Callithrix jacchus: one gene and its partner. The protein of the gene in region 2 purifies or fractionates together with the protein of the main gene of each other region. This does not show direct contact. Links are inferred from orthologs where the notes say so. Each region holds a gene or a part of one and is shown on either strand. Other genes may lie near its edges.

The links. Proteins that work in one complex are often made in the same cells at the same time.
Region 1: the proteins of EGFR (region 2) and AP2B1 purify together in Homo sapiens (affinity purification with mass spectrometry; 4 studies listed by BioGRID and IntAct, with this or other methods). This does not show direct contact. The link is inferred for Callithrix jacchus from reciprocal best matches to the Homo sapiens genes EGFR and AP2B1.

Annotation. Positions count from the first base shown.
Region 1 is NC_133506.1:98,757,195-98,760,843, forward strand, and holds part of AP2B1 (AP-2 complex subunit beta), read right to left. Parts: intron 3,099-3,649; coding exon 2,933-3,098; intron 533-2,932; coding exon 434-532; intron 1-433. UniProt on the Homo sapiens protein: Component of the adaptor protein complex 2 (AP-2). Adaptor protein complexes function in protein transport via transport vesicles in different membrane traffic pathways.
Region 2 is NC_133512.1:22,474,933-22,478,681, reverse strand, and holds the start of EGFR (epidermal growth factor receptor), read right to left. Parts: upstream 2,214-3,749; 5' UTR 1,956-2,213; coding exon 1,868-1,955; intron 1-1,867. UniProt on the Homo sapiens protein: Receptor tyrosine kinase binding ligands of the EGF family and activating several signaling cascades to convert extracellular cues into appropriate cellular responses.

The DNA.
Region 1 (3,649 bases), on a different chromosome or scaffold from region 2:
AGCAGCATAAGTACTTTAAAATTATTTCCAAGAGAAAGGCAATCCCTCTGGAAGGTAGAACAATGCATGAAACTTTGCTGAGGCCATCTCCTATTTCCACATGGTACTTTCATTTGAAAGCTGAAATGAAGTCACAGAGAAGCTGGTAGTATCAGAACACGTCATTTTCATCTAAGTATGCCCTTCATTAAGAGTCTATGTTCAATTTTCATGAATTATGAAAAGTGGAGTCAGCCAACTCATTTAAAAGCCATACAATTAGCTACAATTCAGTTGAACACATTAAAAGGCATTGTTTTAACATTTTAACAGGATCTAAAGGCCATACTTCCTTCAAATAAAACTTCCCCAAATGAACCCCCTAGGAAGAGTCATAATTTCCTACAATTTGAAACAAGACAAATCAACACCTCACTTTTTCCAGATTTCTTACCTGTGTTGCCAAACTCAAGACCTGCTGGACTAGCTCCTGTGTTTCTGATGGTTTCTTGAGAAACAGCTTCACTATGGCAGTAAGCAGAGTGAGCTGCACCTAAACAGATAATTTGATAGAGTGAAAGAATGGCACTGGCATCATTACCTGCCATCATCTCCAAAGTGGTGTTTCCGCAACTATGAATTACTATGGAGTCTTTCTGATGTTGGTTAAGAGAAAAAAGGTTAAAACTCATCAATATCAACAATAGCAGTCAAAAATATTCATGGGAAATACAAAGGTATTCAACTGAAAACTCTATCCTCCTATCCTCAAAATGCATTTTTGGCACAAAACACTGCTTGTTTCTAAGCCAGATAGTTACCTATGTTTATTATTCTTCTTATTATTATTAATTATTTTGAGACAAGGTCTCCCTCTATTGCCCAGATGCACATTTATGAATTGTAGCCTCAAATTCCTGGGCTCAAGCAATCCTTCTGCCTCAGCTTCCCAAGTAGCTGGGGCTACAGGTACAAGCCACCAAACCTCTTTTTTTTTTGTAAATTTTTGTATCTTTTTGTAGAGATGTAGTCTTGCAATGTTGCCAGGGCTGGTCTCAAACTCCTGGCTTGAAGCGATTCTCTTGCCATCAGCCTCCCAAAGTGCTGGGATTACAGACAAGAGTAACTGAGCCTGGTCTGTATTTCTTAAAGTATATGTTAACATACTGATGGTGATAAAACTGACTCCTGAGCAAGTCTTTTATTATTTACTTCTACCAAAAGCTACAATTTGGGGGGAATTATGGAATCATCTGTCATACTGGGGCAAGAGCCAAGACAGTAGAATTATGTCAGATTACAGACTATTAGGAGTTGGCTGCTAAATCACAAAGCTATTGACTTGTACATACTCCTTGATTTAGATCTATTAAAATTGTTATGATAAATCATATACATGATCTTCTACTTGCTTTGAGTACAAATGACAGACAAAAAGGGCTTAATAATTTATCTGCTTCTCGGTCCCATGGCTCTAATTTTGGTAAGGGAAAGTGAGAAGCAGTCTCAGAATTTTCATCCACAGATAATCTTTTCAAAACTCACCACAGCCCCCAGTGAAAATCCCTGCTATAATGAGCCACAGCTATTACTAACAGAAATGTGCAGTCATTCTTAGGTGACAGAAAATAAAAAAGCAGTGTTAACTACTACTCTAATCCAGTGGTTATGTATTGCCAGCCGTAGCGGCAGCAACATCCTGGACCTTGTAAGACATGCAAATACTTAGGCACATCTCAGACCTACTGAGCCAGAAACTCTAAGGCTGAAGCCCAGCAACTTGTGCTTTAAAAAGCTCCCCCAGGTGTTAATAATGCTCACTAAAGTTTGAGAAGTACTGGTCTGAGTTACATAGGTTTTGAATATTAGAAATCAGTAAAACTGGCCAGGCGCGGTGGACCACTCCTATAATCCGAGCACTTTGGAGGTCGAGGTGGGCAGATCGACTAAGGTCAGGAGTTCAAGACCAGCCTGGCCAATGTGGTGAAACCCGTCTCTACTAAAAATACAAAAAATTAGCCAGGTGTGATGGCAGGTGCCTGTAATCCCAGTTACTTGGGAGGCTGAGGAGGGAGAATCACTTGAACCTAGGAGGCAGAGGCTGCAGTGAGCCAAGATCGTGCCACTGCACTCCAACCCGGGCAACAAGAGCAAAACTCTGTTTAAAAAAAAAAAAAAGGCCAGGTGTAGTGGCTCACGCCTGTAATCCCAGCACTTTGGGACGCTGAGGTGGGTGGATCACGAGGTCAAGAGATCAAGACCTTCCTGGCCAACATGGTGAAACCCTGTCTCTACTAAAACACAAAAATTAGCTGGGCATGGTGGCATATGCCTGTAGTCCCAGCTACTCAGGAGGCTGAGGCAAGAGCATCACTTGAACCCAGAGGAGGAGGATGCAGTGAGCTGAGATCGCACTGCTGCACTCCAGCCTGGCACCTAAGCAAGACTCTGTCTAAAAAAAAAAAAAAAAAAAAAAAAAAAAAAAAAAAAAAATCAGTAAAACTGGCCAGGCACAGTGGCTCATACCCAAAATTCCAGCACTTTGGGAGGACGAGGCAGGTGGATCACTTGAGGTCAGGAGTTCAGGACCAGCCTGGCCAACGTGGTAAAACCTTGTCTCCACTAAAAATACAAAAATTAGCCAGGTGTGGTGATACATGCCTATAGTCACAGCTACTCAGGAGGCTGAGGCAGAAGAATTGCTTAAACCCAGGAGGCAGAGGTTGCAGTGAGCCAAGATTGTGCCACTGCACTCCAGCCTTGGCAATAGAGCAAGATGCCAACTAAAAAAAAAAAATTAGTTAAACCGAAAAGGGACATCCCTGTTGGGAGAAAAATGAACACACTATATATAAATACAGACACAGAAGAAACTGCCTATAACCTTTGCTTTCTCTGCAATCTCCCCAAAGACATAGAAAACTACCAGGATAGACAAAAGATAAGAACTTACCTGGGTGCTTTCATCGTGAAAACCCTCCAGGAAGCTTTCTAGTAACTCATCTGCATTGTCAATTCTTTCAGCATATTCTCCCACAATCCAAATCATAGCTGCTCGAGCATCTGGCTCATCTAGTGAGTCTAAGTTCTCACATAGAGTGGCAATGATACTTTCATACCTGATGTGAAAAAATGAACTATGGTTATTAAAAGCCAAACTAAGAATTATATTTAATAGTGAAGGTTAAAGGCAAAACCACAAACAAGGGACCCTAAACCAAACCACCAAACTGTAAAAGCAGTGAGGTTGCAGTGAGCCGAGATCACACCACCACACTCACTTGGGCAACAGACTGAGACTCTATCTCAAAAAAAAAAAAAAACAAAAAAACAATCAGAAGCTTTGGCACAAGATATCTCTATGAGTGTAATGCAACATAGGCTTAAGATGCTTACAAAACCTTCTCTTATTTCACTTTCAGATTCCTTAATTACTTGTTTTCAAAAATCAAATCTAAAAAAGTATTTTTGCTTCAAATACTAAGAGTGTTCAATCTAAAAAACTTGTGAAAATGTAGATTTTTAAAAAAATATTGTATGAGAGTAACTACAATACTTCAGAAACGGCATGAGACTGATACTTTGTTATAGGTTCTATAATTTTCTACAATGTAAGGTAACATGCAAAGTGAAGACCACAGCTGTTACCTTTCTGGTTTTTATGGTAGAG
Region 2 (3,749 bases):
CTCTGCTCTTCCGCAGAGACAGGGCTGGCACCTGACTCACAGGGTCGCGTAGGCTCAGCAGAGGAGGAATCTTTCCAAGAGTTCCTTCAGTGAGAAGAGAAATCCTTTATTATTGGAATCACACCCTACCTTTCCCCTCTTTCCTATATTTGGCAAGATTGTTAAAACTCCAGATGTCCTCAAAGAGCTCTTTGCATTGGCAAGTAATCTCTCCGGAGACTTTAACAATCCTTCTTCCGTGCAGTGATCCCCAAACCTGGCTGCCCAACAGATCACATGAAAAGCATTTTTAAAAATACCATATCCAGGTCTTGCCCCATGTCAATTAAATCAGAATGTCTGGGGGTGGGAGCCAGACACTGGTTTCTGTTTTGGTTTTAAAAAATCCCAGGTAATTCTAAACTGCAGCAAGGTCTGGGAACCACTGTTCTATGCCTTGTCCCTCCCCCAACAACGGCGCTGGGCACCAAACCCCAACGCCTCATGCCAGTGACATCAACAGCAAGTACGGGCCTGGCTCCTGGAACCCGCGCAGCTCAAGGCTGGAATTGTGCAATTAAACCTGAGGCATGTTTCCCATGTCAGATGGGTTTATGAGGGTAGTCACGAAGCCAGACTCGCTCATGTTCTGTCTGGAGACTTGGCACACGTGAACCAGGGACATCAATCTGGTGTGTGTGTGTGTGTGTGTGTGTATGACAGGTTTAATATTTTGGTTGGCCCAATGTCAAATTCTTCAAACGGCAAAGAGAAACATCCAAGAAAGAAACTCCCCGGGTTTTGAGAAGGAAAGTTTGCTGTGAGCCCCGTTTTGAAACACCGTGGTGTGGCCAGGACCGGCTCTGCTCCTTGAGCTTCCGCGCAAGAGTCCCGCGGTCCCCCTCTGGAGTGGCCGGACAGCCGCGTCCCGTTCCACCGCGAAGCCCAGGCTCGACCGAAGGGTTGCAGGCGTGGAAAACCCGCGACATGGCCACCGAACCAGAGCCCGGGGCTTTCGGGGGGGGGCGCCCCGGAGGGAGGTCGGGTCCTCAGCGGGACACACCTGGACCGGCCGAACTAGAGCGCGCCGGGCGGGGCGAGCCGCCGGCCGGGGTCTGCGCCCAAGGGGCGGGTCGGACCCCACCTGCCTTTTGCCAAGGAGGAAACTAACCGCCGCCAGCACCACCCCTTCCCGGGAGCCGCAGGTGGTGGCAGACGAGTTCTCCCAGCTCCCAGGTGAAGGCTGCTACTCCACACCCGGGAACGAGGCTCGCGGGGACCCGGAGAGGCGCCGGGGCCAGGCTGACCCACGCCGGCTTCAGCGTGAGACTCGCGCGGAGGGCGGAGGCGGGAGGTCAGCTCAGGAAGCCGCCTGTCCCGCGGGGTCCGAGGGGAGGCTGCATTCTCGGGGTCCTTCCTCAGCTTCCCTAAACCGCGCGGCCCTGCGGGTGGGCAGCGCTGGCCCCTCGGGTGCGCGTTCCGACCCCGCCGTGCCCTGGGAGGACAACGCGGGGCGCCATGCGGGACCCCGGCTCCCGGCGCCCACCGGGCCGCGGACGCCGATCCCGCGCAGAGAGGCGGGAAAGTAAGGGAGAAAAGTTGGGAGCGGTCGGGACCGCAGGAGGTGCCAGCTGCCGTTCTCCGCCCCGCCCGCAGCCCGGTGCCCTCCCCGTCTCCTCCTCCGCCCGCCGCGGACTCTCCCGGCCAGGGACGAAACGTCCCGTTCCTCCCGCGGTCCCGGCCGGCAGCGCAGCTGATCTCAAGGAAACAGGAACGGACGGGCGGGGGCGCGGGCACCGAGCCGGTGCGCCGGTGCGCGGCTGGGCTAGCTGCGGGGTCCGGGGCGCGCTCCGGGGGCGGCTCGGGAGCCGGCGAGACACGCCCTTACCTTTCTTTTCCTCCAGAGCCAGACTCGCTGGGCAGAGCGCAGCCAGCAGAGCCAGGAGCGCGGCCCCTGCCGTCCCTGAGGGTCGCATCGCTGCTCCCCGAAGAGCTCGCTCCGACGCTCCTGGATCAGTCCTGGACGGAGTCAGGCGGCCGTGCGCGGTGGCTGTGGCGGCGGCGAGGCGGGGACTCGGGCGGACGCCGCCGAGGTGGGTTGTCGTCCCGGCTGGGCGGCGGCGGCCCCCGGGACTCGCTCGGGACTCCAGCCGCCTTGGTCGCGGAGGGCTCTCACACCGTGCGGGGGGCGGAGGCTGCTGCGGCCGCGCGGCGCGGGGGCTGCCCGGACGTCTAGCTCGCGCGGGCCGGGACGTGGGGAAGGCTGGGCGGGAGGAGGAGGGACCAGGCGGCGGAGGAGGGATCGGGAGGAGCGGAGGAGGAGGAGAATGCGAGGAGGAGGGACGAGAACCAGCAGCAGGGACCCAAAGCCAGCGGCCGCCGGAGGCGGTGGACAGCGGTGACCCCCGCGGGACCCGGGCTCCGGCAGGAAAGGGGCGGCGCGTGGGAGGGGAGCGGGTGCCCTGAGGAGTTAATTTCCGAGAGGGGCGTTCCCAGCACTGCTCCTCTGGACTCAGTCTCCATGGACTTGCAGGCCCAGCTTATGCTGAGATGGAGCCAAATCTGTGCCAGGGTCCCCTTCCCCCTTTCCCTTCTTTTGTTTTACAAAGCAAACTTGTACCAGCTTTGGACAGATTGGCCAAGCCCTAGAGCCAGCGTCGGATAATGGCACCGACGGGGAAACTGCTCTTTTATTCTGGTCCCCACCTCCCCTGCAGCACCCTGGGACCCTCCCAGGGCTCAGAGGCTGGCCTGGCAGCTGAGGCGGTTGCCGTGCCTGTGCAGCAGGAGTGCCAGGCGTCCGAGGTGCTGATCCAAAGTCCGAGGGTCCTTCAGATCCCGTCAAGCACCCTCGAAATTGAATGAAATGAGGGTACCCAACTCCGAGCTCAGATACAGGCCTCCTCAATGTTTATTGTAACCGACCCTGGGTAATTTGAGCCAATGTGTGAGGCACAGTACTTCGCAAAAGGGAAGCTCTTGGAATAAACGCTTGACACAAACAGCCGTGGAGATACTTTTAGAGAGGCTAAGTGTCCCACTGCCCTGGTAGCTCCCACAGGAGAAATGCCAGGGAAATTCGCAGAGGCTTTGGCCGGAAGAAACTGAGCTGCTTTGGGCTGCAGGAACTTGAGCTACATTCCTTCTGCAAGTGCACCCTATCCCCACTGTTCCTTCTCCTACAGGAAAAATGCCCTCTAGGTCCATGTTACAGACCCCTCCTCTCCACAAGGTTCACTAGGACTTTCCGGCCTGATTCAACAACCTTGATCTCCCGGCTCTGTCAAGAACCACACTCCTGAAGTAAGTGGAGCCCTTTGCTGCCCTTTGCTGTCCCTGGAGGGGAGCAACCTTGCTTCTTTCCTTCCCATCCAGCAAATTGTCTGTGCCAGAGTTTCACACCCTGCAGCCTAAACGGTGGGGTTTTCAGCAGGGCAAGCGCAAACTCCTCACCGCCGACTCCTCACTGCCAGCTCCTCACCGCTGCTGCAACCTGGAACTTCCCCTGTGAATCAGGAGAAGTAATTTGTTCCTTTGTTTTAACCAATCAGGACAGCCACTGCAGGTTGAAGTCAGCCCCTGGATGCAGAGGCTGTGACGGCTCTGCAGGCACGTGTGTGCTTCCTCCACATATGCACACCTGGGCTGAGAGCAGTCCATAAAGAAACAAAGAAAAAACAAAACCAGGGAATGGCAAACGGGAAGCACAACAGCGGAACACAAAATGAAGACAGGAGTGAGTTTGACAATAAAAGACATGAGTACAGTGA